Linked DNA regions of Rattus norvegicus. The protein of the gene in region 6 interacts with the protein of the main gene of each other region in a biochemical or structural test. Links are inferred from orthologs where the notes say so. Each region holds a gene or a part of one and is shown on either strand. Other genes may lie near its edges. The genes, in order: Trim24, Mta1, Safb, Ncoa7, Rela, Esr1 and Src.

Region 1 (3,500 bases), on a different chromosome or scaffold from region 6:
GTTTTTTGGTATATGCTAGTTATTTTTTGCCAGAAAAAAAAGGCTTATTTGTTTTTTGGTATTATTACCACATGTGTGTGTACACACAAAATATGCTTCCCTTTCTCTCTCCCCTGGTTCTTTCCCTTCAAAGGACATTTGAGCTGTAATGATAGACTGTCGCCTCTGTCTTTGATATGTGCAAAGAGGGTCTATTTACATTTCTCATTATTCTGTCTTGGTACCGCAGTGGCAGATCAGCAGTGGACAGGCTACGCCTACAACTGCCAGCAGCTCCTCCTCCACTCCTTCCAGTCCCACGATCACAAGTGCAGCTGGGTACGATGGAAAAGCTTTCAGTTCACCCATGATTGATCTGAGTGCACCAGTGGGAGGGTCTTACAATCTTCCTTCTCTTCCAGATGTAAGTTTATGTAAAATCTGTACTAATAACCTCCTCTGAAAATTGGCAGTAAATGTGGGTTTAGTTTAAGGTATGGGTTTATTGGTTTATCAGCTATTTCTGAAAGCTTAGTTTTATTCTTTAGAAATAAAATGTGAGTAAAATTAGAAATTCTGAACATTTGGACATACAAAGGAATGTTTTCTGGGCTCTGACGTTGAAGATGTTTGCAGAAGATGTGCCATGGAGTCGAGGCTAGGAAGTGAGCTGGAAGGCTAGACTACTGTCCAGAGGAGAGAGTGGGGAGTAAGAGCAGAGCTCAGGTCAGTTCCTGAAGGGTAAGGCGTGCAAAGCTACAGAAAAGGCAGGACACCAGACCTGTCTACTTGAGCATATTAAGAAATATAGTCAATCTTTAGGATCTTTAACTTTGACAAGGGACTTGGAAAGCATCTTTCTAAAGGCAGAAAGTAACAGTGTTGTGTTGCTGGCCTCTGTGTGGGTCTGTGCCTGTACACATATTGTGCCTACATGAATGCTTGATGCCTTTGGAGGCCACAAGAGGGCATCAGATCCCTTGGAACTGGAGTTACAGACTGCTGTGAGCTGCCAGGCGGGTGCTAGGATGAAATCCGAGTTCTCTGGAAAACAACTGATGTTTGGTTTTTTTCCCAACTGCTGAGCTGTCTCTCCAGCCCTGCTTTTTCCTGCCCTGCAAGATTAGGAGGTCTCAGTGTCATGAGACACATACAACCAAGTATGAAACATTTACACTTGTGAAGGTTTTCACACTTTAGTTGGAAGGAATCGTGTATTAGATTAAACTTTTAATTTTGTTTTAATTTTTTTTCAAGTTCAGATCAATTATATTTCCTAATAAGCATATTATTAATCTTACTAGAGTCATTTCAGTTTTTATAGTGCATATATTTTAAACGGGTAGAGCATACTTTTTTCTTGCTCTTATCAGACATAGGAAAATAATTTAAATTAAAAAAAATTGCTTTTAGGATTATTCCACAATATAAATTATTTTTATTACATTAAGAAACCCAGTCCTTTATGCACTGTCCAGAAATTATTGACTAAAGTAGTACCTAAGAATAGTCAAGTACAAATGACCTTGTCTGCTTCCTGTCCCCCAGGCCCCACTACCATAAAAGAGAGAATCCATAGAAAATGAAGTTTCCTTTCTTTTTTTCTGCATTATTTCATTATGTACAGTCTGTACCCTGGCTTTAGGGCACAGTTCTCCTATAGAATCCCAATTGAGAAAGACTACAAAGAACGTGAAGGAATTGTACATGTTCCTGGGAAGTGATTATTTAGGCAGAGGGAGGGAGGGCGGGTGGGCGGGCGCAAGCACGTATGATGTGGTGCATCTGTTCTCAGTATATTTACCATGGGTAGAATATAAAGAGTAAACTTTAATTTCTTGATGGGGAAATCGTCTAACAGAACTTCTTTTGGGTTCTCTTTTTTTTCTTTTTTTCGGAGCTGGGGACCGAACCCAGGGCCTTGCGTTTGCTAGGCAAGCGCTCTACCACTGAGCTAAATCCCCAGCCCCTAACAGAACTTCTAAGTTTGTATTACTTGAGCCCTTAGTCTCTACACTCCAGAGGCAGAAGCCGGCAGATTTATGGTAGTTCCAAGATCAGTCTGGTCAATAAATTGAGTTCCAAGATAGCCAGGGCTGCACAGAGAAGCCTTGTTTCTCTCAACAAACAGGAAAAAGATAGTACTTGGGATCCAAGTTTTCTTGTAAATTTACAGTAGTAGTTTTTAGTTTTCAACATTAATTTGCCCTGAAAAAATTTCTTCTCTTGGAAGATTGATTGTTCAAGTACTATCTTGTTGGACAATATTGCAAGGAAGGATACAAGTGTAGACCCTGGCCAGCCAAGACCTCCATCAAACAGAACCGTGCAGTCACCAAATTCATCAGTGCCGTCTCCAGGCCTGGCAGGTAAGGCCACCTTTTGGATTCGCAAATGTTTTCTGGTTTTTATTTATACTTTTACTCATAATGATTAAAAGTTCCTCTTTGCCTCACTTTTGATGTATTGGGGGTGGTGTCTGCCTCAATTTTTAAATGATGGTTATTGTATCTTGGTTTTATTTTATATATATTTATATGTATTTCCACATCTGTGCCATAGTGCACATGTGGAAGCCAGAGGACAACTTGGAGTTGATTTTTCTCCTTCCTCTAAGAGGGTGCCAGGCTTCAATGCTTAGGTTGTCAGACTTTGTGATAAGGGTTTTAATCCACTGAACCCATTTCACCAACCTGAGTTTTTTATACCATGTAAAACTAGAATTCTTCACAAAGAAGGAAACTTGGGTTCTTTTTTTAGTTTCAGCAAAATTTATTGGCATTACAGCAACCAAAGAGCAAAGTTTTATCACATTGTCATTAATACATTTAGTTGCCTGTATATGGTCTCTTTGAGAATGTAATTTGCCTAGCTTCGCATTTTATTAGTTAGGATACAAAAGAAGAGAGCGGTCTTGGTGGCTTGTGTTTAGCTGTATTTAATGGTGTTTGGTGTAGGGAGGTAAGGCGATGGCTCACTGGACAAGGGCACGCACTGCTCCTGCAGAGGACCATGGCTCTGTTCGCAGCGCCCTCATGCTGGCTCACAACAGCCTGGAAGTTCAGTGCTTGGCCTCCCTGAGTGTTGCATGCACATGGTACACTTACGCGTATGCAGGCAGACCAGTCGAGTCACATAAAAGTCAATCTTTTAAAAAAAAATCATACTTTAATATTCTTAATTGATTGCTATAAGAAACACGGGAAATACTATTCCTGGAGACTTGATATAGCAGGTGTCTCTTGTGTGGCATCCTGGAGAGACATAGACAGATGCATCCAGGTAATGTGCTGGTGACAAGCTAAAGCAAGAATTGCGCTCAGGTCTAGCCTGGAGAATCAGTGAGCTCACCACACCCTGCCAGTGTGGTTGGTAACTCAGCAAAGAGGGCCCCGAGGCTATCTGCACAGTTTGCAGGCCCCTCTAAGAGAGCTCTTCTGTTCCAGCACTTTCCTACATAAATATTCTGACTTTCTGAATCTTGACTTCTTCAGCTTCCTGAATTTTGAAAAATTTCATTA
Region 2 (4,068 bases), on a different chromosome or scaffold from region 6:
TCCATTGTCAAAGCAACTCACAGTGCTCAGGCTCAAGCAGGGCCCCCAATCAGCTCCTCCTGACTCCCCCAATTGTGGCAGGGCCAGGATTTCCATCAGGGACACCACCTTTTGTCCTCTGGCCTCCAGGTCATTTCTAAGCACTCCACTCTTCACAAATCTTAGACAAGCACAAAGGCAAGCCCATAGTCACAAATGCTTCTAAATGCTACAAAGAGGGGCCTTCGTCAACTGATGCTGAAAGATGAGGGACACACTGAGGACCCTTACAAGACTTGATGGGTGAAGGGAAGGGCTCACACAAGAAGGACTCAAGGGTACTTTGTAAGCAACTCCCAAGGAGCCCTAGGAGGGCTCACCTCAACAGGTTTGTGAGATCAATCAGGTGTGCTGAGGGTCATTCAGGAAGTTGTTCTCTGGAGGTCACCTGGGTTGCAGAAGACTAGGTGGGCATGGGGCTTGGGAGGGTCACCCATGGGTGCTGAGGGTCAGGAGGGAATGGGCCTGGAGAGGACACCTGGAGAATGCCAAGAGTCATTTGGGGGGCTGGGAGAGCCTCCCAGGTATGCGAAAGACCATATAAGAGGGCCATCCAGGGATCTGAGGAATACTGAGGGTTAAAGACCGGTCACCCAACGGGTGCTGAGGTCCAGGCAGGCTTGGGCCTGGAGAATGCCACTGGAGGAAGCCAAGTATCATTCCGGAGGGGTGGCAGAAGAGCCATCAGTGATGTCTAGGGCCACTCTGGACAGGTTGCAGGAGTACTTCCTAGGGAAACAGGGTGTGGGCCTCCTGAGGACCACCTGGGGATGCCAAGGGCCACTCCAGCGGAGGCTTCGAAGAACCTCCCGGGATGAGTAGCTGGATGCTGCGGGCCAGGTGGGAGAGCCACACGGGGATGTTGAGGACCACTTTGGAGAGGATACAGGAGGGCCACCCGGGATGCCAGGGCCAGGCGATGGCCACCCCGGGATGCTGAGAGATAGGCGGGAGGGGTCGTGGGAGGGCGATCAGGGGATGCCGAGGACCAGACGAGCGAAGGGCTCAGAAGGGCCACTCGGCCAGGGGCGCGCGGGCCGGCGCGGCGCGGGGTCGGGTAACGGCCCGCGCGGTGGGCGGCGGCGCCCGAGGCCCCTCCCCGCCGCCCGCGGCCGCTCCTCCTCTTCCTCTCCCGCCCGCGCCGCGGCCCTCCCGTCCCTGCGCGGCCTCGGCGGCCTCGGAGGCGGCGGCGGCGGCGGCGGCGGAGCAGCGCGGTCCCTTTAAACCGCCCGCCGGCGCCCCCGCGCCCGCCCCCGCCCCGGCCCGCGCCCGGCCCGCCGCCCGCGCCCGCGCCCCGCGCCCCGCGGCCCCGCCGCCGGCCCGGACATGGCCGCCAACATGTACAGGGTCGGAGGTAAGGCCCCGCCACGGCCTTTATGCGCCGCGGGCCCGCCGCCCGCGCCTCCCGGCCCCGCCGCGGCCTCCGCGCCTCCCCCACGCCGCCCTCGCGCGCGGCCCGCGCCCCTCCCCCCCGTCCCGCCCCCGTCGCGCTCGCGCCCCGCCCGCGAGGCTCGGTTCTGGTCTTCGGTGCTCGTCCCGGCCCAAAATGGCCCCTGGGCCGCCGGTGCCGGGGCGCGCGCGCGCGGGGGGAAGAGCGGCGCTGGGAGGGGGCTATGCCCACCTGTTGGGGGCCGGGGGTGGCCCGCGGAGTAGCGGCGAGTGGCCAGGGCATCCCCGTGGCCGGCGGGCCCGGCGGCGCGAGGCCTGGGCCTGGGTCCGGGCCGGAGCCCCTGAGCAGGAGCACGTGCCTCTGGAGCTCTGGCTGCGGTCCCGCGAGCAGGAGTTTGGGGGTCGGGGGGCGAGCGGTCTCCTCTGGGGCCGCACTGAACCCGCTAGGTGTGCAGGCACCGGGAACCTTGTTGCAGGGGCCACAAGCTCGCCCGGACCGAGGGGCTTTCCTTAGCAGGGATTCCTGGGAGGGGGGGTTGGCTACTGCAGGGGGCCTACATCCCAAGTGCAGGTCTGAGTCACCCCAAACTTTTCTCTGCCCTACTGCTCACCCTAGCCTAGCAAAGGAGGCACTTTACTAGCCTTTGGAAGGCCAGAGGTCCCTACTGACCTGGGGCCATGAGGGCCTTTCTGCCCGGGCTGGACCCCCTGTTGTTGGGCCCTAGGCAGCCCTTCCCCCAGTTTGTGTGTATGACCAGGACACTCTGGGATGGCCTTGCACACATCCAGTCCATGCTGACCCTTACAGTTACTTCATCCCATAGCCTTCTGCTCTTTGTGGACTTGGAGACCCTCCTTCTGGTCACAGCCTAAACGTGGATGGGTCCCTGCTCCCCCACTAGCAATGTTGGGCCCTGCTGTGTGTGTGCAGGAGTGGGAGACCACCCAGAAACACCCGTCACCACTCCTGCGGGTGACCCTGACCCTCCAAGTGCCTAGGTCTTTTCCTTCCATCTCACACCAGCGGGACCCAGCCAGCTCAGTTCTGTGGCTTTGGGCACGCAGATGGGTCATCCACCCACCCACAGCAGTCCCTCTCCTGCTACAGGGCACAGCCTAGGGTGTTGAGGCCCTGTGAGGAGGGGCTGGTCCTTGATGTTTCAGTCTTGCCAGTCCCGGAGGGAGTGGGCCACAGCACTGGATCCTGTAAGCTTTCTGGCCCGCTTTCGGGGGGGGGGGGGGGGGGGGCAGGGGTGTCTCTGCTTTGCTCCTGGCACCCCAGGTGGCCTTTTCCCAGGTGCTGCCCCTTACTGTGCCTGGGGAAACCATTTTTGCATTCAGATCCCCCCTTCCTGTTCACTGTGAAGTGCTGCTCCCTCAGCCTCTACCTCTGCTTCCCTCATTTCAAAGGTCCTCCTTTGCCTGTGAAAGGCTCCCATTATCCCGGTCCCTGGCTCTGTTCTTTCTCTGGATTTAGAGACCCTCCTTCTGGTCACAGCCTAAATGTAGATGAGTCTCTGCTCCCCCACTAGCAAAATTGGGCTCTGCCATGAGTGTGTTTTGGAGTGGGAGACCACCTAGGAACACCTGTCACCACTTCTGTGTAGGACCCTGACCACTGAGCCACCCCCACCTGCACCCCCAGTTCACAGCGTTTCTGGCCCATGATGGCATATGATGTGTTGAAGAAATGAATGAATAGCAGAAGTAGAGGTCTGGGCTCCTGCATCGGACTCAGGCAGTGGGAGGTGGTGAGAGCGAGGAAGATGGCCTGCAGGACACTGGGTTCTCAGCCCGTTTCTAAGAGTCCCACAGCTGCCTGCCAGCCTGACAGGGCTGTAGCCAGGGCCCTAGCAGGCTGGGAAGGAGGTCCCAGACTTTGGCTCACTTGTATCTGTTTGCCCACGGCATGGCTAGGGATCCACCCTTTTTTCATCCTGTGTCCTGCGGCTGCTCCTCCAGGGCATAACTGGTGTCCTGGCCTGTCCGAGGTCCCATGAGGGTAGGTGGCTGGACCCTGAGCCTCTGCTTATGTATGGTGGGAGCAGGGATAGGTCTGTATTTCTGTGTATGTTAGCTGGCAAGCATGGTCTGGGGTCCCACCTGTATTGCCTGGAGTGCCTTGCAGTGTAGCAGTCCCCGGAGGGTATCTATGGCAGATGAAGGCTCAGCCCCTATAGGCCTTTTGGATAGAGAACTCTAGTGCCATCCTGGGAGTCCCAGCAGGGCCTTGCGGTGGTGCTCTGGGTGTTGGCTGTTGGCTTCCTGCCCCAGTCACTGCTTGCCAGATTCTCAGGCCCCCAGACGAGAGGACACACTGTGGCTCTCTGAGCAGGCCTTGGTTCAGTCTGTTGTCTGGGCTCTGGCCCCCTGGGAAATCCGTTCAGAGGAGTGACTGGTGGGGACCTAGGTTGGGATTTCTCTCCCCCTGCCCTACCCTCTTGGCACATGCAGCAGAGAAAAGTACAGGATGCCCAGTCAGGTTTAGATTTCAGGAAAACTGCCGTGCCCTAGTGTGAGTGTGTCCCAGCTGTGGAGGCCATGTGGACACTGAGGACTGTGACTTGGAACACAATGTTGGGCGTCCTGTATTCTCTGGCAAGCTTGTCTGGAAGCCTTGTCAGGGTGGACTGGGCTGGG
Region 3 (4,188 bases), on a different chromosome or scaffold from region 6:
ATGAGACACCTTCTAGCAGCAGCATGCCTTTCACCCTGGGGATGTTTGCAAGTTTACAGTCCCCAGAGAGAAGGCAGCAGCAGCAGTGCCCTCAGAACTCCAAGCTCAGGCAACTCTTCCAGACCCCCAGGGGCTTCCTGTAGTGTTCCAATAGGGAACCAGAGACAAGCCCACAAGGTGAGTCAGCTTTCAGACATCCCAAGGGGCAGGAGCAAGCTGTAGAAAGGTAATTCGTTTTATCCCTTGGGGCTAAGAGACAGAACTGTCCCTCCCAGGCCACCTCAGCAAACCCCCTTCAACAGCTGCTCCTCCACACCACCTCCCTTAAAAAAAAAAGTCAACCAGATGGCCACCAGCTGGGTGACAAGCAGGCAGAAGGACAGGACTGCAGATCTGCCCTCTGATCTGATAGACATACAGGGGTGTTGAGTGGGGGCAAGCACAGACCAGGGTCTCTCTACACCCCCAAGGGGACAAAGAAGACAACATCCAGAAGCCGACCCTCAGCTTCCAGTCTGGAGAAAGAGAGCTTGGTGCTGCAGCCAGGGCCTCGATAGCAGACTGAGCATCACCCTAGTAACCCCCCCCACCCTATATGTTCTATAGGGGTCACCAGTGTAAGAAGCTTCTTGCCCATTCCAATAAAAAGATGTAGTATCCATTAAAACACACACACACACACACACAAAAACAGAAAAGGAGCTGGCTGACGTTCAGTGTAGTGTGCCTGCCCTGGCCTCTAACTGCTGCATCCACTCTCACAAGCATGTATGTTATGTGCTCAAATAAACACTGTACACATCCACAGGGTAGAAGACAGAAGGCAACCTCAACTGTCTTTCAGGTACCATCCATCGTGGTTAGACTAGTCAGCCAGTGAGCCTCAGGGATCCTCCTGTCTCTCTGAGCACTGGAATTACAGCTGTACCCCACCTGGCATTTATTGTGGGTGCTGGGAACAGAACTCAGGCTTTCATCTTGCTGCCACCTCTTCTTGTCCATTATCTGAATAGCAACTGGTGATTGGTTTTGGACCCATTAAGAAGGTGAAATCTCGGGGTTGGGGATTTAGCTCAGTGGTAGAGCGCTTGCCTAGGAAGCGCAAGGCCCTGGGTTCGGTCCCCAGCTCAAAAAAAAAAAAAAAAAAAAAAAAAAAGGTGAAATCTCCAGCTTCTGTGTGCAGGGGCAATTAGGCAGATGCCAACGACCAAAAGCTAGAGGGTAATACACACAGAGTACACTTTCTAAGGTGGGGCTCAAGAGTCCTCATCTACACATGTCAAAAGGTGGCCTTGAGGAGAGTAAGCTTGTTTACCTGGACTAAGCTGCATGCCAAACCAGGGTCCATGTGATGTCCTCCCTACCCTAAAGATGACCCACTACTGCCTTGATCTGAGGACACACAGAGAGTTTAAAGGTCTTCCTGAACAGAGAATCTAGGCCACCAAAGAAGGTAACAAAAATGAGCCTCTCTGTCTGCCCCTGGATCTCAGACTGAGGCTAAGTCCTCTGACTCCCACCTAACCACACAGAATGGTGTGCAGCAGTGTGGAGGGATGGCTCCAAGGACCTCTGCAATGTTGGGCAAGCATTGATCTATGTGCCTAGCCCTCTTTTTACAGAGACAAAACAAAAACCTACTACTTTTTACAGAAAGGCTCTCATGCATCCCAAGATGGTCACAAACTTAGGATCCTTCTGCCCCCACCACTCCCAGCCTTAGGAGGTATTTGGGATAAAATTTAAGGGTTTTGTGTATGCAAGGCAAGCACACTACCAAATGACTAGGCCTTGGAGCCTACTTTATACTTTGAAACAGGCTTGCTAAGTTGCCTAGGTTTGTCTCACAACTCTCACTTCCTGTCCCTTAGAGGGTGTCTGGTTTGGGACACCCTCTAGCTAGCCCTGAACTCCACTACTCAGGTTGGTTATAAACTCCTCTATAGCCCAGGTTAGCCTTTAACTCACATCTGAGATATCTTTACCAACAGAAAGACCTTCTTTCCTTCCATCTCACATCTTTACCCTAGTTTAGTTCTAGCAAAGAATTAGAAACAATTTATTTTTCGGCTTTCCCCCCCTCCCTTCCTGGGCTACCTACCTCCTCTGGCTGTCTATGAGCTCTGAGGGTTCCTCAGATTTCATTCCCCTACAGGCCACTGTCTCTCCAGAAAAGAATAGAAAACAAAAACCACCTGTTCTGCCTCGGGAGCCGAAAAGGGACTTGGGATCGAATCCTGCCACAAGCTGACTCTGCTGGGTGACCTTGGCCGAGTCTCCTCCATCCCCCTTTAGGGTTGGGGCTAAGCAGTACAGGGAACGCGATGTCATCGATCCCTCGAACCCGTTCACGGTGTTATTTCCTTCTGGGCGCATCACTGCGGCGTCGGGATTCGAACCCTCATACCCCGCGCCCACGGAGCCCGAGTGTTAGCGCACGGCACGAAGGCCACGGGCCGCTCCAGGCCAGGCGGTGGGTGTCGCCATGGCGACCGTGGGGTCCCCCGCGAACCTCACCTTCTTAAGCCGCTCCATCAGCACGCTCTTGTTGCCGCTCGAGTCGAGGTTTCGCTTCCGCAGCTCCGCCCGCAGGTCGATCACCCGCAGGTCGCTGAGCCGCCGCGTCCCGGTCTCTGACGCCGCGGAGCTCACGGCCGCTGCGCTTGCCGCACCCGAGTCTCCTAAACCCGACAGAGTCTCCGCCATTCCAGGGACCCTGGTTCCGTCGCCCACTTCACACAGAACCGGGTCAGTGGGCTTGCGTGGGTGTGTTTTTTGGATTTGTTATTATTTTTTTTTTTGAATCTCGGCCCTCTTACCACAAAATGGCGCCGCCTGAGAGGGAACCGCTTCAGCCTCCCCTGAGGTGCACCTCGACACTGCGCAGGCGCCGCCGGCGCGAGACGGACGCTCTCAGACGCCTCTACACAAGCGCCGTGAGCGCGTCGTTAGAGAAGGCGCAGGCGCATCTCTCCGGCTCTCCCTTGTCCACGGACCACGACGCATGCGTGCAACAGGTCATGCGCCTGCGCATTGAGGGGAAAACGACAAATCGGTGTCCGAGCACCGTTGAGCGGTGGCGTGCGCAACGGAGAAGCGCTACAAGATGCAAATCAGGGCTGTGACCATTAGACGCTTCAAAGCGATGCGCGTGCGCATAAAAAGAGGGGCTGGGCTTACGACCGGTTGCGCATGTGCATTTGTACCACCGAGGCTAGAGACTGCTTTGGTGTGCGACCTAGGAGGTGCGTCAGAGCCGTGCGCCTGCGCAGCCGCAATGAGAGGCGGGAGGAAACCAGTGCGTTTTCCTCTAAGGCGGCGCCATTTTGTACTCAGAGCCTCTGCAGCCGGGGGCAGCGAGTGTAGGAGGTTCCGGAGCGGGGTTGGGAAGTCACGGAAGCGAGAATGGCAGAACCTGTGACCGGGTCGGGCGACCCGGCTTTTAGTCCGGTCGCTTCGGATAGTGGGATGCGGCGGCTCAGCGACCTGCGGGTGATCGACCTGAGGGCGGAGCTGAAGAAGCGGAACCTGGATACAGGAGGCAACAAGAGTGTGTTGATGGAGCGGCTGAAGAAGGTGAGGGAATGCGGTTGGCGCCGTTCGCCCGAGCACGTAACTGGTTTATCAGAGTCGGGCGGGGTTTCCTACCTCGAGACCCCATTTTGGTCTGTGCTGTCAGCCACCGAGGGAGCCGAGGCTATGTGACCTTGGCCAGCCGCTATCCCTCTCTGTGCCTTGCTTCCCATTTGCCCTGGGGTTTGCAAGAAGCGAGGCAATAGGGTGGCCCTGGGCACTTCTCTATGACCTTGCATCTGCAGCTGTCTTTTCTGCCACCTCAGTTTACTGTTCTGGAGAATTTGTCAGTCAACCCCATGGTTGGGTCTGCTCAGTGCCTCTGCACAGACCATGCTCACTCCCAGTTCTGGTCCTCTTGCACTTCCCTGGCCTGGAGCCTAGGTGTCATCTTGAGTCAGCATGAGATGTCACTGTCCTGCCCTAGAGAAGTCTCGTTTAGTGCACTTGACAACAAAGTTGTCTTCGTGGAATAGGGTCCTTGAGAGTTAGGGCCTTCTGGTTGGCTGCAAGTGGAAGGAGCCAAATACTTTTAATGAAAATTTGCCAGCTTGCTTTCTTCCCCAGCCTGTGTTCTGTTTTTCTTTGTCAAAAATCAGTGCCTCCCCCCATGAG
Region 4 (4,281 bases), about 15 Mb from region 6:
AGAGAGAGAGAGAGAAAGAGAGGGGGGGAGGGAGGGAGGGAGGGAGAGAGAGAGAGAGAGAAGAGAAGAGGAGAGGAAGTGAGAAAGAAAATAAATTTGTATCTGTATGATATATGTGAGGTCACTTTGGAACCACAGACGCTTTTAAAGGTTTTCTTTTCATCTTTAGCTTTAATTATATATATACATATATATATATATATATGTGTGTGTGTGTACATATATATATGCATATATATACCACAGCTCAACTTTAAGACAAGTTACCTGTTACTTATTAACCAGATCGCTGCTCCTTCTAAAATAACTTAAGAATTTTCTCTGACCATAAAGTCTGCCTTCTAAATTGTTTTAGAAAGCACAATTGAAACGGTATCGATTGCTATAACACTGGAAAGTGGGCACAAAGTGATCCTAAACAGAGAACTGCCTTCCTTACTGCTGAGGCCAGAAATGTCAATGAAAAAATGACCAAGCTTGGCCTGTTTATAGAAAGAGGCAAGTTTTAAGAATACAGTTAATTGTACTAGCAAATAACAACAACACATACTATAATTTTAAATTATATTGGGTTATATACAATTACCTTGAAATACAATTTTCACTCATTCAACGAATAACAAACAGCTATAAAGCATCCAACACTAGGGAATTACAGAATAGGAAGAGAAGGAGAGGGGCGGAAGAAGGGGAGGAGGGTGAAGGAGGAAGGGGAGAAGGGGAGAGGAAGAAGGGGAGGAGGGGAGAAGAGGAACTGATAATGATGGTGATTCTGTCCTCTTAGTATTTATATTGATTCAGTTCGCCAAAATCCCTAATCTGAAATAGTGCTTACAAAATTGGAATTTACAATGGTCCTTTTTTTCAAAACCCTAAACCTTATTGCTTAATGTAAAATCCAAAACGGCAGCCTGAGAAGTAACAATTTCGATAAAAGCCCCAATCTATGAATTTTACTTCAAGAACAGTGGGGGAAAGACTCAACCAGTTTCTCAGAAAGGCAGGAATCAGCTCAGAGTTGTAGGCGAGGCTGGAGACAAGGCTGCCTCTGCTGGCTAACAGGCACATCTTTCAGAGTCTCAACTCCCCGACACCTGTGTCAAACTTGCAGCTCTCAAACCCGTAGGCTCCCGCCAGCTTAAGGGAACACGCCAGCCTCATCCATCACTTAGGTAATCTGATTTCTGGAAAGACTTTCCTTAAACTGGCACCCAAAATGTTAAAGTCTTCGCACCTCTGACTTTATACACCACTCGGCTAGCTGTAAATTACACAAAAATCCACAACCACTCCTAAATACCTCTAAAACAGCAATCGTGGTCGTCTACATTTTTAGCAAAAAGGAGAGAAAGAACGCATTTGCTGATCCTGCTTTTTTAAAAATGCAATGACACAGTCTACTTGAGCTCGTGAAAAAGGCAACGGTCTCCTCGCAAAGAAGACCAGCGCCAACCTATCCCTCCAAGCTTCCCACAGCCTCCAACCAAGGGTCCCCAGATTGTTGGCGAGGAGGGTCCAGCGGCCCTGCGCCTCGAACGTTCCAAGCAGAGCGTCTGGGGTCCCTCGGGGGCTGCGCCCAGCGCCATTAGCACACCTCGGAGCGCTGGCAGCCCAGGAGGGGGCAAGTTTGGCTGCGGCTGGCAGCCGCTCCGGTTCGTCCGGGCCCCAGCATCAGCAGCCCGTAGCCTCCAAGGCCTGGCCCCGCCTCGGCCACCTACCTACTGGGCGGGGGCGCGGGCTCCGCGGGTCCGGGCGAAGTGGCTCGGGCGCACGCATTTCTGGGAGCCGTGGCCTCTGCCGCCGGGCGCTGGGGAGCGCATCCTCCCGTGTGGGAGGAGGGAAAAGGACGGGGGCAGGGGGGGGGGGGCGGGATCGTTCGCCGAGGAGGAGCGAAGGGAAGCAGCAAGAGGCGGCGAGGAGCGCTCCTGAGGGGTTCCGGAGCGCTGATCTGGCCGGAGCAGCCGCCGCCGGGATGCTCGAAGCCTCGCCCAGGTGCCAGCAGCGGCACCCACGGTCAAGGCACGGGGCACGCACGGAGCGGAAGGCGGGGAGCTGCGGTGGCGCGACGCCCGCCCGGCGCCCGCCTCTAGCTCCGCCCGACCCGGGGCGCGCGCTGCACTGGTCTGCTGCGGCGGGGATCCGGGAGCTCAGAGGCCCGCCCTAGCGGCTCCGGCTGCAGCAGCGGCATCTTGCCTGCCCGGTGCGACCTCCGAGCCGCAGGCTGGAAGCCCCGAGGTGGCTCGGATCCACCCCAAACCTGGGCCCGGCGGCTCCGCCCCAGAGAGATGCGCGCGCGGCCTCCGCAGGCCCGGGCCCTTTGTGACGCCGCCCGAGGCGACGGTCATCTTTTCTGTGAACGGGGAATGGTCTGCTTACCTGGCACTTAATCTCATCCCTCTAGCTGGCTACTGGCTGAATCTTGGAGGGAAGTTAGCGTTTATCCGCACAGCTGGAGGAAGAGCCCCTGTCGGAGCCTTAAAGTCCCTTTCCTTTCCCTTCCAGCGCTAGGACCAGGGGTAACCATAAATTCATCCTCTGTCTTTTCCGGCATTTCCTTTGGCAAAGGGGCCCACCGTCTCCTTTTTCTCCTGTCCCCGGTACAACATCCTATAAGCTGCTAAATTTGATCCTTATAGCCAAGGCAATGCAATGTAGCAATTGGGCAGTCCAGCCGGCTCTTGGTTGGGGCCGGAGAGCAGCTCAGTGGGAAGGTTTTTGCATGAGCCCAGGGGCCTGTTGCTTGTGAGCTTCCAACCTGGACGCTGTTCCCTTTACAGTCCAGTGGCTATCACTGCAAGATGACTCGGAGGATCTGGTTGTGAAGATCACTCTTAAATACAGGAAGAAAAAGTGTGTGTGTGTGTGTGTGTGTGTGTGTGTGTGTGTGTGTGTGTAACTGGTGTGTCCCAAGCCATCAACACACAGTACATAGAGGCCTCCGCAGGTTGCTGCTGCCTCTTGGTACTGCCAGTCTCTCTGGAGGGTGGAGCAAAGCACCGAACCGTCTGCCTTTGAGATTTCAGGAGCAGGTGATGTTACACAGTCGTGCAAATATGAAATCTCTTCCTGGTTTTGCACTCACCATCTATAAATTCTGACATCAGGTTTACGTATTTATGCTTTGAATAGGAGAGACTTCTTGTTCTTTAGACACCTTTTAGTCAAATGATTTAGCCTTTAGCAAAGGAAAAAAAAATGGGTTCCTAAAATATAGACATGATTCTATTTGTATCAAAAGAAAACCATTGCCTGAAGCCTCCAGAGAAATGGTGATGGTCTCACAATTCTTTGATAAGTGCTTTTGTGATTTTGAAATCTAAGCTTAGTAAAAATAAATATCGGAATACACACACACACACACACACACACACACACACACACACACACACACGGGAATGGTGACATAGCCCTGTAACCCCAGCTCTTGGGAGGTGGAGTTAGGAAGTTAAGGAATCCAAGGCCAACCTCAAATGCTAACCTAGGCTGTATAACAAACACCCTGTTTCAAAAAGTAAAGTAAAAGTTTAAAAAGAAAGGAAAAATCATATCAAGTTCACACTTCGATGATAAGATAGCTGACCTTTCCGGGGGGAGGTGGGTAACCCCTAGGAGGTCAGGGTGGAGCAGGGTCTGAGCTGTATTTGGGAGGAGAGGCACGTGATTCAGTTCTGTTCTGAGAATGGCTGGTGAATCTAAAGCCCCAGTTCAGAATGACCTAATTTCGGGAAGGAAGACGTACAGAGTGCTGTTATGGAAAACATCTTGAAATCACTCAGGACAAGAACTTTGCTGTTTGCTTAACCAAGTGTGTGAACCTTGAGTGCAGTCTCTCCAGGAGCTCTTCACTGAGCTGCAGCTACCGTTTCCTACTCTTTAACTCCATCAGCACCCCTTTGTGCCTAATCCCAAGGGTTCTGTCGGGAAGTAAAATAAGCCTTGGTTTCTTTTCTCTTAGGCAAAAGTATAACTGAGTATGTGTTTAAAGGGGTGACTTGCTGATGCAGTGTTCCAGAGCTTTTCCAAAGCAATGGCAAACAACGGCACTGTCTTCATTGGCTCCCCTGGGATTACATGATGGATTGCATGCAACTTATAGCTTGTCACTACAGTGAAAGTCTGAACAGAACAGGGGCTGGTGCTCCCATGGCTGGGGGTGAGTTGCTTCTAATTTAAAGATTTGTCGGTCATTCTCTTTTGTGACTGAGTATTGACCAATTTATCTGAGTCTTGTCTTCACACAGAAATCAGAATTAACGTCATCTACATCTTCATTATCCAGTA
Region 5 (4,208 bases), about 170 Mb from region 6:
TTCCCATCCAACTCCAGGGCATCCTGCAAGCTTCCCACAGAGGCAGCTCTGGGTCTTCTCTGCCCTGCCCCCTGCAGCAAGGCCACACCCACCCCAGCCCCATTCTCTTCCCAAGCCCACCCTCTCCCCTTACTGCAGCTGGCCACTTACGGTTATCAAAAATCGGATGCGAGAGGACAGGGGTCAGGCGGAGGGGCCTGCCTGATGGGTCCCGCACTGTCACCTGGAAGCAGAGGCGGACCGCATTCAAGTCATAGTCCCCGCGCTGCTCCTCTATGGGAACTGTCAAAAAAAAAAAAAAAGTGGTGGAAGGCATGGGGAGGGCAGGGAGCTCTGAGGGAAGAGGAAGGTGATTTGAGGATATATAAAACAGAAGTCTAAGGGGAGGAAGACAAAATCCTAGACCCATCACGGCTCTACTGGGACCTGAATACACCACCCCTTTCTAGGCCTGACTCTCAACGGTAGCATGTGAGTGTGTACCATGCTGGCAGCGAGGTTCCACTTGTACTGTTGGGTTGGTCATGGAGGGTGAGGAGCGCCAGAGGCCCAGGGAAGGTGGCAGAATGTGCACCACAGGCAGGCTATGTCCTGCCCCTTGCTCCTACCTTGAAAGGGGTTATTGTTGGTCTGGATGCGCTGGCTAATGGCTTGCTCCAGGTCTCGCTTCTTCACACACTGGATCCCCAGGTTCTGGAAGCTGAGGCCTCAGGCATTAGTTCTGTGTCTCCAAAAGAACACCCTCTTCCCACTCCTCAGCTCACAGCTCAAGGCTTCCCACTGTGCTACAATGAACCCACTCCTTACCCACTGGCGAGTCTCTGAGGGACCTGGCCCACACCAGCCCCCAAGTCAGTGTCCTAGCCTCAGCCACAGGGCCTTCCTGTCCCGTCCCTGAGCACACTAAACTTAGTCCCTTTTCCAGGTCACCATACTTCTTTCTTGTGCATGCAATGTTCTTTTGGGCTTGTCTGCTTTTTCTCACCATTTGAGTGTTAGCACAGAGGCCTTCTGCAATCTTCCAACCCAAAGTCATGAGACCTACGTAACAGGACATGGTGCTACGCGCCTATTACCCTTGGAGTTGAGAAGAGGAGGTAGGTGAACCCTCATGAGTGCAAGGCCAGCTTCAGCTATATGAGACTCTGTCCCTATGCCACGAGACCAGCCTCCTCCTCCTTCTAATTTATTACTGTGTTTTCTTTTCATCATGGAAATTATAATTCTCCACTAGTATCTTTTCTATCTGTTTGTACAACTGTCCCCTGGTTTTACCAACTGGTATTTAAGCTCTAGGAGAGTCCATTACGGACTTTCTGATACAAGAGCCTAAGGGACTGGGCTATCCAGTCATAAAGGATCTGTCGCTCCAAGATAAAGAGTTCCCATCTGTTAGCGAATTTAAGACAAAGGGGGTCTGTTTGCAGACCTGGGGACAGAGCAAGGACTCTGGATTCTGCCAGTGTTTAGAAAAGTGTAACTTTGTAACAGCTGCCTGGCCCAGCCTGCTCTTACCCTGCCCCCTACCTACCCTGACCTCACACTACCCCCAGCCTATCTATTCAGACTCACCTGTGGATGCATCGGTCTGGGCAGAGTTCAGCCTCATAGAAGCCATCCCGGCAGTCCTTCCCCACAAGTTCATGTGGATGAGGCCGGTGAGGTGGGTCTTTGGTGACCAGGGAGATTCGAACTGTTCCTGGTCCCGTGTAGCCATTGATCTGTCCAAAGTACAGAGTACTTTAGAGGCCAGCAATCCCAAATCTGGCTCCTAGACACGGGGCGCGGTGGCAAGGAGGCAAGTCTGCTGGGGCTCCACAGTGCCTTCCACCACATCTGTGTCCCCACCCCGACACCCCTGGGGGCTCTTGCTTACCTTGATGGTGGGGTGCGTCTTAGTGGTATCTGTGCTTCTCTCCCCAGGAATACTGCCTGCAGAGCGGCCCTCGCACTTGTAACGGAAACGCATGCCCCGCTGCTTGGGCTGCTCAATGATCTCCACATATGGCCCAGAAGCCTGGGCTGGCTCTGTGGGTGATACGGTCAGCCATTAGGTGCTGCCCCCATGGCCCCTACTCCAGGACAGCCCCTACCTACTGAGGAAGGATGGTCCACTTACCTGAGGGAAAGATGAGGGGAAACAGATCTGAAAGGGAAAGACAAGGCACACTGTCAATAAACTCCAGTACCCACCCTCACCAGGGAATGCCTCCAAAGGAAACTGAGCCAAGATCCTAAGACCTGCCCTGAAAGAGGCCAGGTAAAGAAGGCAAAAGCATCTCTCTACTAGAGAAAAGGGGCACAGAGGTATTCCTTTGCCCGGGGAAACTGAGTCAGAGCCTGTTTTACGTTCATAAGTGACACTGAGGAAGGGTTCTACCCCCTCTCCTTTTCGGGGGATACTGAGTCAGATACTTTCTCCCTTACACGGAAAGGAAGCCAGAACTAATCGCATCGACACAGTGGGTGGGGGGGGGAAGCCGGAGGAAACTGAGTCAAGATTCACCCGTACTCCCACCCAGGAGGGACATTGAGTCAAGGCGCCCTCCACTGAGAGGGGCAACTGAGTCAGACCCCTCGCAGCCCGCCCCGCCCCGTGCCACCATCCGGCCTGCCGCTCCCTGCGCAGCAACCCGCGGCGCAGAAAGGGGCGGAAGACGGCGCGAGGGGGATCCCGCCGCAGGTCCCGGAACTCTAGGGCAGCCGTCCCGCGGGCCAGAGGGCAGCCTCACCGTCCATGGCCAGGGTCCCGGGGGCGGGGCCGGGGTCGCAGCTGAGCCCACGGCGCGCTAAAGCGAAGCCATTCGCCAGAGGCGGAAATGCGCGGCGCGCGCCCGTCGTCGCGTCACTGCCCGGAATCCGGCCGCGCCTGCGCGCTGCGCCGCCGCCACCGACGCGCGTGGGGGCCGAGAGCAGGTGCGCAACTCACGCTGGGCGCGGAAGGTGTGCGGCGCGCGGGCGGGGACACCGGAGCGCGGCGGTAGGACGCCGAGGCTATTCGTCCTGAGGCCCGCCCGACTGCAAGCCGCTCCCGGACTACGCAGCGCGGTTCGCTCCGTGTCCGGGCCCCGCCTGGAGGGCGGGCCCGCGATTACTCACTCTGTTTTTAGGGGATTTCGGGTCCCGTTCCCCGCCCCGCTCTGATCTCAAGAGTTTGGTGATGTCACCCTGGCCTGGTCTGGAGCAGAGCCCGGGCTGCTGGCAGGCTGCGGCCATTCGCCCTGCACAAGGAGAGGCTCAGGCCTGCTGCTTCCGCGGAGCACAGTGACTGAATTCCACACGTTTTCCTACTCGTGCAGGGCCTTCTGGGGACCGCCGCGCGTTACAGGCCATATGCTCCCAACCTAGATCCGGCTGCGCGCAGGAGTGCTTCCCAAAGCATGCTTCATCAAGGCTTGACTGAGGCCTTGGTGTAGAGGGGACCGAGGTAGACACCTGTACCTCTAAGAGTCCCTGAGAGCAATGAATGCTGGAAGAGCTCCAGGGCTTCGCCTCCACAGATAGGTCCTGTCTGCTAAGGTTCAGATCCCTAGGGATCTCCGGAGCTAGCCAGGGTCACACCACTTGAGCATCTCCTTGAAGGCCTCCCAGGAGCCTGAGCTCCAGTGATGAAAGCTTTTGTAGGGAGAGAAAATTGCCATCTAAGCCAAGGGCGGGTGTGCAGATTGAGTCTGGGGACACTGGCTGGAGGAATCAACACATCAGGCTCCCTCCACAATGCCAGAAGGAGGAGGCGGGGTGGGGGGCAGAGGAGGCTTTAGCACATGGAGAAAGACTTATTTTCTCTAAATTAGGAAATCATGTGGGAATTGGAAAAGATTGGAAATTCTGACTTCTTTCCCAGGCTCTGAAAAAAACAGGAAGACAAAAGTGAAAATAGTTACCGCCCCTCCCACTCATTTCAGTTTCTCACTTGGCGCAGATTAGAAAAAGCAGTTTAATGTTTTGCGGGGGCGGACATCAAGGTGACAGAATGAATTATGGTCTCCGATTAATGGCACACAGCCATCATTGATCCTCGCACGAACCACTTTTAAAAACTGACATATAGTTGCAATTTAATTAATATGAACATGAGTGTACTTACTGAAAAATAAGGGCTAGAGATGGCAACTCAGGAAAGTTCTTAACATTGAAGGAAGCTCTGGGTTTGATTCCTAGGTCTAGGATGTTCCAGTCATCCCAGTACTCATGGGGTCAGAAGTTCA
Region 6 (3,500 bases):
CTTTATTGAAGTGTTTTCTTTACCTCCTGTTGTGTACATGTTTTAATTATTTCTTTGGAGAGTACAGTGCAGTTACATCATTTCCCCCAACCTCTGTTTCTGCCCTCCAAGTCCTCCCTAAAAACCACTTTGGCCTCTCTCAAATCCAAATCACATTACTGGTTCCATTGCTGTTGTTCTACCTCGCCATGTTTCTCTTTCCCTTTCTGAAATTGCCATTATTATTCCTAAATTATCATAAATGTGGCATTCCCTATACCAGCTCGTCAGTGTAAACTATCTTTCTAAATGACGGAGGTATTTGGGTATATAAAGTCTTTTGAAAGTAAAATTTTCATTGCAAACTTCCACAGTCATCTTCAGAGTTCATCCTAAGGGCATTAGGTCTGCTCTTCTTTTTTTCATCCTTTTTTTAAATCAGTGGCTATTTTCATTCCATTTCCTCTAGATAAGTAGGCTTTGCACTTACAAAGCTGCATTTTAATGGTACACATACACAGAGAGACAGACAGACAGACAGACAGACAGACAGACAGACAGACAGACAAAGGCAGAAATAGACAAAGAGAAATAGACAGATGGAGAAATGGAGAAACAGAAAGCCTTGTGTCTCTTCATGACAGTGACACATCAGAGGAATGCATGCCTGTGTGGATCTGCTTTTCTCTACAAACTGACCCATGTTAAACACAGACCCACCAACAATGACACCTGCCCTTGCTCTAACCTATAGAACATGCAGGCCTAACTCTATTGACAAGGCCTGTTGTTATGCAAAATGTTGTTACAGGGCACATGACTGTACATAATTGCATTATGATTCTATAATTCCTTTTTCTAAGGGACCAATTCACAAAATATAGTTTAACCCAAAGATATTGGGCCCTCTTGATTAGCGTAAAGAAATTTGAGAGTAGTTTTGTTACATATGTTATCATCACACATGTCTAATGCTGAGTTTAACAATGAATTAGCTAACACGAAAATGGCATCTTTTTAGCCTTGACTTCTATTTTAATCCTAAATTGAGGCTATTTTCTTGAATCTTCCATCAATGAGTAATATAGTTGAACTCGTTCAGACAGAAGCAGAAAGATAAGTTCAGGGCCTGCCTGGACTACCCAGCAAGCGCCCTGACATAAACAACAATAGTAACAACAAAGTATCAATCATAAAATGTTAAGGTGTAACTCTAAAAATAAAGATAAAAATAAAAAAATATGCTTGGGTTCAGCATATACCCACAGTTCGGCTCTGGAACAAGAATTTTCAGGATCTCATAAGGGATATGTTTACAGAATAATAAAAACTTAATAGCAGCCCAGATCTGGTTCTCATGGGTACGGCCATTAAATCTCTTGTGGTTTCTCTTTTTCTTTTCTTTTCTTCTCAAAGTATAAAAACAGACACAAACTTCAAGGAAAAACATATATCCTTATGTAATTCCAATCCTGAGGTATCTGTATCTGCCTCACAAAACAATGCTAAAATATCTAGGTGCTAATTAAAACTTTTAGCTCTTCAGATGGCCAAGAATTTTTGTCCAACAGAACGATTCTCGAAACTTAAATTTGTTCTACGTACCCTACTTACCCAACCACCTAGATGGATGCCCTGTAGTCAGTTTGGTTCAATGGATTGCTGCCTTCTTACTCAAAGAACAGCATGTTTATATGTGGGTTTATGCAAATGCATTAAGATTCCCCAAGGGGAGATCCCCATCAACTCAGACTCTGTCAGTGACTCTGGAAATCAAGGCCCAAAATGCCACATGCATTTTAGTTTTATAAAAATGGATAAAATATCCCACATGTCACAGATCTATTGAAGCCCAAGGAGAAAAAGCTCTATATTTACATCCCCCATTGACTTAATCTGTAAGCCAGAAAACAAGAGTCCACCCTTCTGTTGCTTCGGCACAGACTTCCGCATATGAAATCCATTAGTTGAGGCATGGGACGGTCTTGTTTCCATCATAACTGGAGTCCTTTTCCTTAAACAAGAACACTCAAGAGCCATAAAGGCAGCACTTGAGAGACCAATAAGAGGGGTAGAGCATCGCTCCAGCTTCTGGAACCTTCTAAATGCTCCCTAGGACGTTGTTGGCATTGGTTTGACCACTGTGTCTTTGTTTCTCTGGACATCCCATGCAGGAAACAAGTTGAATAAATAATTGGCATTCTACAAATAAACTATCGGCCTTTAGTGTACGCCAATATTTGGTGAAGGATTACATATGGACAAACTGCCTCTCAATAAAGGTGTTTTGAATGATAGCATTAGAAATAAAAACAATTCCACAGATCCCCAAGCATTAAGTATTTTTAATATGTGATATCTGCATGACAGGACATATATGTGTGTGGTATGTAGTGTTCATCCAAGTCTTTTGAGCAAAGAAGACTGGCCAAAAACAGTATGCCTAAGGTTTTAGTCTGCTGGGTGTTTACTTTTAAATTTTAAAGGCTATTTCCTAGGTATCAAGAGAAATACAGTAGGTTATATTGACAATTGACAAATTCTAATACAGCCTTTTCTCTAATCACATAGCACACTTCTATTTCCCCCCTCACCTTACCACACCCAATTGTTGAAAAGTTATTCACTCTTTCCATGGAAGTGGAGTTTAGCATTCTTACCTGGCACTCTCTTTGCCCAGTTGATCATATGAACCAGCTCCCTGTCTGCCAGGTTGGTCAATAAGCCCATCATTGAGGCTTCACTGAAGGGTCTAGAAGGATCATATTCAGAATAGATCAAAGGTGGTTCAGCATCCAATAAGGCACTGACCATCTGGTCAGCTGTCAAGGACAGGGCGGGGCTATTCTTCTTAGTGTGCTTGATCACAAGTGGACTTGGCCAAAGGTTGGCAGCTCTCATGTCTCCTGAAGTGCCCATTTCATTTCGGCCTTCCAAGTCATCTCTCTGACGCTTGTGCTTCAACATTCTCCCTCCTCGGCGGTCTTTTCGTATCCCTGAAATCACAGAAGGATAAAGAACAAATTTGATTACCTTTTTTGCCTGTCAATCTCAGAACAAGCTCCTGGGAATATAACAATAGAATTTTATGAGTGAGTAGTAGTTGTCTCTAACATACAAGTAATTTTGTGTGCACATGTGTGTCTGTATATATGTATGTATATGAGTATGTGTAAGCATATATATGTATGTGTACACATATATGTATGACACATGTGTATTTATCTGTGCATACATGTCTGTGTTTGTGCACATGTGTATGTGTATGCTTTTGTGTGTGTTTATGTATATTTATATACATATATATGTGTGTATCCGTGTATTATTTTATGTGAACATGTGTGTATATGTGTACATGTGTCTATGTATCTGTGTATGTATTTTATGTGTTTATGTATGTATGTGTGTACATGTATGTATATGTGTACATATGTCTCTGTGTGTACATGTGTGCATGTATGCATATGTATATATGTGTATGTATATGTGAATATATGTGTACATGTGTCTCTGTGTACACT
Region 7 (3,770 bases), on a different chromosome or scaffold from region 6:
CCTGTCTAATGCAGCCCAGGTGCTGAGCTGACCTCTTGTCCACTGTGACCTCAGACACAGCCCTCCCTCTCCACTGAGCCATGTTCTGGTTGCTGGTGCCTGGAGCACTGACCGCCCACCCATCAGGCTGCCTTCTTCCTGGCAGCATTCCTAATCAATCAACATCCTAGTAACAGTTACTGTTCATGAGCAGACTCCAGCCCCGGGAGGGGTCGCCATTCCTAAGTGGGAATAGAGTCTCAGTGTAGTGTCTGGCCTTGCCCGGGCCCATGCCATGAGTTCAGAGGCAGGGATTGAGACAGACACCCATATGGGCTAGCCTGGGTGGTCCCAGTGTGACATAATGGTGGCCTGTGCTGATGTTGCTATGCCCCTCCCCCACAGGGACCTGGAACGGCACCACGAGGGTTGCCATCAAAACCCTGAAGCCAGGCACCATGTCTCCAGAGGCCTTCCTGCAGGAGGCCCAAGTCATGAAGAAACTGAGGCATGAGAAGCTGGTGCAGCTGTATGCCGTGGTGTCAGAAGAACCCATTTACATTGTGACAGAGTACATGAACAAGGGTAAGGTCTGAGCCCAGGCTGACCTCTGCTCAGATGCCCGCACGGCAGACTGAGGGTAACTTATTCCTTACCCCAAACCAACCAGATGAGTGGACAGCTGTGTCAGGGACTGCCTCTCTCCTTTCGTAAAGAATAACAAATCAACTATTTTTTCCCCTAAAAGACGTTTCTTTTGTCCCTTACCACTGACAGGATCCCTGTTGTTGCTGGTGTGATGGCACACACCTATAATCTCAGTGCCCATGGCTCTGAGGCAGGAGGATCTTGAGTTTGAGGCCAGGCCGGGTACATAGCAAGACTGTCTCTGTCTTGGCAAACAGCGGTGTGGGGCTGGGGGTGTAGCTCGGTTGGGAGAGTGCTTGCCTGGCATGCACAAGGCCCTGGGTTTGACCTTAGGTGTGATCTCCAGTACCACAAGGCTAGGCATAAGACACAGACCTGTAATCCCAGCCCAGGGGACGTAGAGACAGGAGGATCCAGAGTTCGAGGTCGGCCTCCGTTGCACCTTGAGTTGGTTTATGTGAGACCCTGTCTCAGAACAAAACCATGTATAGCGTCCACATTACCCCAGAGTTCTCTGCTGGACTTAGTGATGTGACTCAGCCCCAGCCCCAGGTAGCCACTGGCTCTCCGGTGCGGCCCTGATAAAGCAGTTTCTCTCGGGCTTTACACATAATCTCTTGCATCTTACAACCCCTGTTGTGTTGTCTGCCTGACCGCCTCCCTACCCGCCTTACCACAAGTCCTTGCTCTAACTCCCTGCAGTGTTGGCCTTTGAGCAGGGGGCCAGGTTCTGGGAGCCACAGTTTCCTGCACAGGGAGACTTAGACAAGGCTAGAGCTGGGTCTCTCTCTCCAGGGAGTCTGCTGGACTTTCTCAAGGGGGAAACGGGCAAATACTTGCGGCTACCCCAGCTGGTGGACATGTCTGCTCAGGTGAGTCTCCTCCTCCACCTTCCTCCACCCTTAGCTCTCGAGACCAGAGCGCCCCCTTCAGGAGATCTGCCTTCATTACACCAGAGTCTCACCTTGCAGGTGCCTGGGGTGGTACCTGGGAGTCAGAGGGGCACAAACACGTAATGAAGAATAAAAATAAAACATTAAAAGTTTAAAATGTACTACTTCCATTTGCTAGATGAGGAAACCGAGGCTCAGAGAGGGGACTTAGGACAACAGGCAGGATCTAGCACGCCCCTGTGTCTGTGGGGCCTCCTTTTTTATATACTCACCTGCCCCCCTGGCTGCGTCTTATTGTGACCTCCCATTGTCCTTTGCTCTCCCCTCCCCCACTGAGCTCCGGTCTACTTTTCAAGCCAGCGCTGTTTATTTTAAGCTGAATGAAGTTCCTTGCTTGAACAGACACAGGCTAGGCAGGGTGTTTGAGTGACCAGCCCGAGGCACCTGCTCACAGCACAGGGATGGGTGTGGTTAGCCCCTGAGCCAGGCTCTCTCCGTCTTTACAGATTGCTTCAGGCATGGCCTATGTGGAGCGGATGAACTATGTGCACCGGGACCTCCGAGCCGCCAATATCCTGGTTGGCGAGAACCTGGTGTGCAAAGTGGCCGACTTTGGGCTGGCCCGGCTCATAGAGGACAACGAATACACAGCTCGGCAAGGTGGGAGTGCCTGGCGGTTATCTGATGGTATCGGTCTGTCAGGTGGGAGTGAGAGCAATGCCCCTGCAGCAGACTGGTATCGATAGCCTGTGCTTTCTTGCTTGTAGGTGCCAAATTCCCCATCAAGTGGACCGCCCCTGAAGCGGCTCTGTATGGCAGGTTCACCATCAAGTCGGACGTGTGGTCCTTTGGAATCCTGCTGACTGAGCTCACCACTAAGGGCAGAGTGCCCTATCCTGGTGAGGAGCCTGTACCTGTGCCCCTGACCTTGGCCCTAGGGCAAGCCTCACCACCACCACCCCAATGCTCCCCCACATCACCCACCCCTGGGCTTCCTCTTTCTAGGCTGGATGTGTCTGTCAAAGAGGCTGATCTCTGATCACAGGCTGCCTCTGGTCAGGACTCTTAGCCTCCAAGGCAGTGTTCTGTACAGCATAGGGTAAAAGTGGTCTAGGCTGTGCCAGTCTCTGGAGCCATCTCCTCATAGCCCTCTCTCTGTTTGTTCATAGGGATGGTGAACCGAGAGGTGCTGGACCAGGTAGAGCGGGGCTACCGGATGCCTTGTCCCCCCGAGTGCCCTGAGTCCCTGCATGACCTCATGTGCCAGTGCTGGCGGAAGGAGCCTGAGGAGCGGCCCACCTTCGAGTACCTGCAGGCCTTCCTGGAGGACTACTTTACGTCCACGGAGCCGCAGTACCAGCCCGGGGAGAACCTATAGGAACTGTGTGCACAGAACTGTCACCTCTAGGCTTTTGGGTGTCGCCTCCCTTCATCCTCTCTCTGGGGCTGAGTTCCTCTGCAATGCCCCTTTTGGAGCATGGAAGGGCTTCAGGGACGGGGCAGCCTGGAAGGACAGGTTGAGGCTGGTACAGCGACTGTCCCACGCCTGCCATGGCCACAGGCTCTCTGTGCATTCTCTCTGGAGTCGGCCTGCTTCATACTGGGTGACGAGCCGAGCTGGGGGCGGTTTTCCAACCTCAACCCACTCTACCCACCTGGCTCCTCCCCACTTTCTAAACCCTGGGTCTGTTTCAAGCTGGCCAAAGAGCCTTTCCAAAGAGGAATAAGGCCCAGCCCTTGGCCTATATGTACTAACTGCCCCTGGTCATCCTTGTTGGAGGCTTCTGGGTGGAACATTGGGTCTAGAACCCTCTCCCATGGCTCTCAGGCTAGACAGCCCAAGACCCAACACCAGTTGGGATAAGTGTCAGAGTGAGCACTCCCTCAGCCCTGTCCTCACCAAGGACCCTTGAGATCACCAACACATTACCCTCATTTCTCTGTTGGAAAAACTGAATCCAGGAGGGGCTGGGACCTGTCCAAGACCACGGGCAGTTTCGGGTTGAGGTGGGCTTGGCACCTGGTGCTCCCTCTGTCTTCCTCAGGAACTAACGAGAGCTGTCCTCCAAGGGAGTGGGCAGGCTGAGGCCCGAGAGTGGCTTCAAGTTGTCAGGGTTCTGCTCTCACTGATGCTCATGGGTCTATCATGGGGGAAGAGGCAAGCAGGAGGCTGAGCCCGGCGTGAGGGGTAGGAAATGACGGTGTGGAAGAGGTGCGTCACAATGCAGCTGGGCTTTGACCTTAAGAGCT

The links.
Region 1: the proteins of Esr1 (region 6) and Trim24 form a complex in vitro, tested with the Homo sapiens proteins (4 studies listed by BioGRID). The link is inferred for Rattus norvegicus from reciprocal best matches to the Homo sapiens genes ESR1 and TRIM24.
Region 2: the proteins of Esr1 (region 6) and Mta1 form a complex in vitro, tested with the Homo sapiens proteins (4 studies listed by BioGRID). The link is inferred for Rattus norvegicus from reciprocal best matches to the Homo sapiens genes ESR1 and MTA1.
Region 3: the proteins of Esr1 (region 6) and Safb form a complex in vitro, tested with the Homo sapiens proteins (2 studies listed by BioGRID). The link is inferred for Rattus norvegicus from reciprocal best matches to the Homo sapiens genes ESR1 and SAFB.
Region 4: the proteins of Esr1 (region 6) and Ncoa7 form a complex in vitro, tested with the Homo sapiens proteins (2 studies listed by BioGRID). The link is inferred for Rattus norvegicus from reciprocal best matches to the Homo sapiens genes ESR1 and NCOA7.
Region 5: the proteins of Esr1 (region 6) and Rela form a complex in vitro, tested with the Homo sapiens proteins (3 studies listed by BioGRID and IntAct). The link is inferred for Rattus norvegicus from reciprocal best matches to the Homo sapiens genes ESR1 and RELA.
Region 7: the proteins of Esr1 (region 6) and Src form a complex in vitro, tested with the Homo sapiens proteins (3 studies listed by BioGRID). The link is inferred for Rattus norvegicus from reciprocal best matches to the Homo sapiens genes ESR1 and SRC.

The regions. Positions count from the first base shown.
Region 1 is NC_086022.1:67,642,335-67,645,834, forward strand, and holds part of Trim24 (transcription intermediary factor 1-alpha), read left to right. Parts: intron 1-229; coding exon 230-403; intron 404-2,212; coding exon 2,213-2,348; intron 2,349-3,500. UniProt on the Homo sapiens protein: Transcriptional coactivator that interacts with numerous nuclear receptors and coactivators and modulates the transcription of target genes.
Region 2 is NC_086024.1:137,998,647-138,002,714, forward strand, and holds the start of Mta1 (metastasis-associated protein MTA1), read left to right. Parts: upstream 1-1,268; 5' UTR 1,269-1,365; coding exon 1,366-1,393; intron 1,394-4,068. UniProt on the Homo sapiens protein: Transcriptional coregulator which can act as both a transcriptional corepressor and coactivator. Acts as a component of the histone deacetylase NuRD complex which participates in the remodeling of chromatin.
Region 3 is NC_086027.1:1,503,269-1,507,456, reverse strand, and holds the start of Safb (scaffold attachment factor B1), read right to left. Parts: upstream 2,801-4,188; 5' UTR 2,707-2,800; coding exon 2,518-2,706; intron 1-2,517. Other genes in the region: Safb2 (scaffold attachment factor B2), read left to right, coding at 3,406-3,576. UniProt on the Homo sapiens protein: Binds to scaffold/matrix attachment region (S/MAR) DNA and forms a molecular assembly point to allow the formation of a 'transcriptosomal' complex (consisting of SR proteins and RNA polymerase II) coupling transcription and RNA processing.
Region 4 is NC_086019.1:28,673,178-28,677,458, reverse strand, and holds the start of Ncoa7 (nuclear receptor coactivator 7), read right to left. Parts: upstream 2,801-4,281; 5' UTR 2,377-2,800; intron 1,858-2,376; exon of another isoform or gene 1,595-1,857; intron 1-1,594. UniProt on the Homo sapiens protein: Enhances the transcriptional activities of several nuclear receptors. Involved in the coactivation of different nuclear receptors, such as ESR1, THRB, PPARG and RARA.
Region 5 is NC_086019.1:212,352,928-212,357,135, reverse strand, and holds the start of Rela (transcription factor p65), read right to left. Parts: upstream 2,801-4,208; 5' UTR 2,740-2,800; coding exon 2,733-2,739; intron 2,147-2,732; coding exon 2,120-2,146; intron 2,029-2,119; coding exon 1,877-2,028; intron 1,722-1,876; coding exon 1,573-1,721; intron 701-1,572; coding exon 609-700; intron 283-608; coding exon 151-282; intron 1-150. UniProt on the Homo sapiens protein: NF-kappa-B is a pleiotropic transcription factor present in almost all cell types and is the endpoint of a series of signal transduction events that are initiated by a vast array of stimuli related to many biological processes such as inflammation, immunity, differentiation, cell growth, tumorigenesis and apoptosis.
Region 6 is NC_086019.1:43,770,190-43,773,689, reverse strand, and holds part of Esr1 (estrogen receptor), read right to left. Parts: intron 2,976-3,500; coding exon 2,640-2,975; intron 1-2,639.
Region 7 is NC_086021.1:166,554,688-166,558,457, forward strand, and holds the end of Src (proto-oncogene tyrosine-protein kinase Src), read left to right. Parts: intron 1-384; coding exon 385-564; intron 565-1,422; coding exon 1,423-1,499; intron 1,500-2,026; coding exon 2,027-2,180; intron 2,181-2,287; coding exon 2,288-2,419; intron 2,420-2,689; coding exon 2,690-2,898; 3' UTR 2,899-3,270; downstream 3,271-3,770. UniProt on the Homo sapiens protein: Non-receptor protein tyrosine kinase which is activated following engagement of many different classes of cellular receptors including immune response receptors, integrins and other adhesion receptors, receptor protein tyrosine kinases, G protein-coupled receptors as well as cytokine receptors.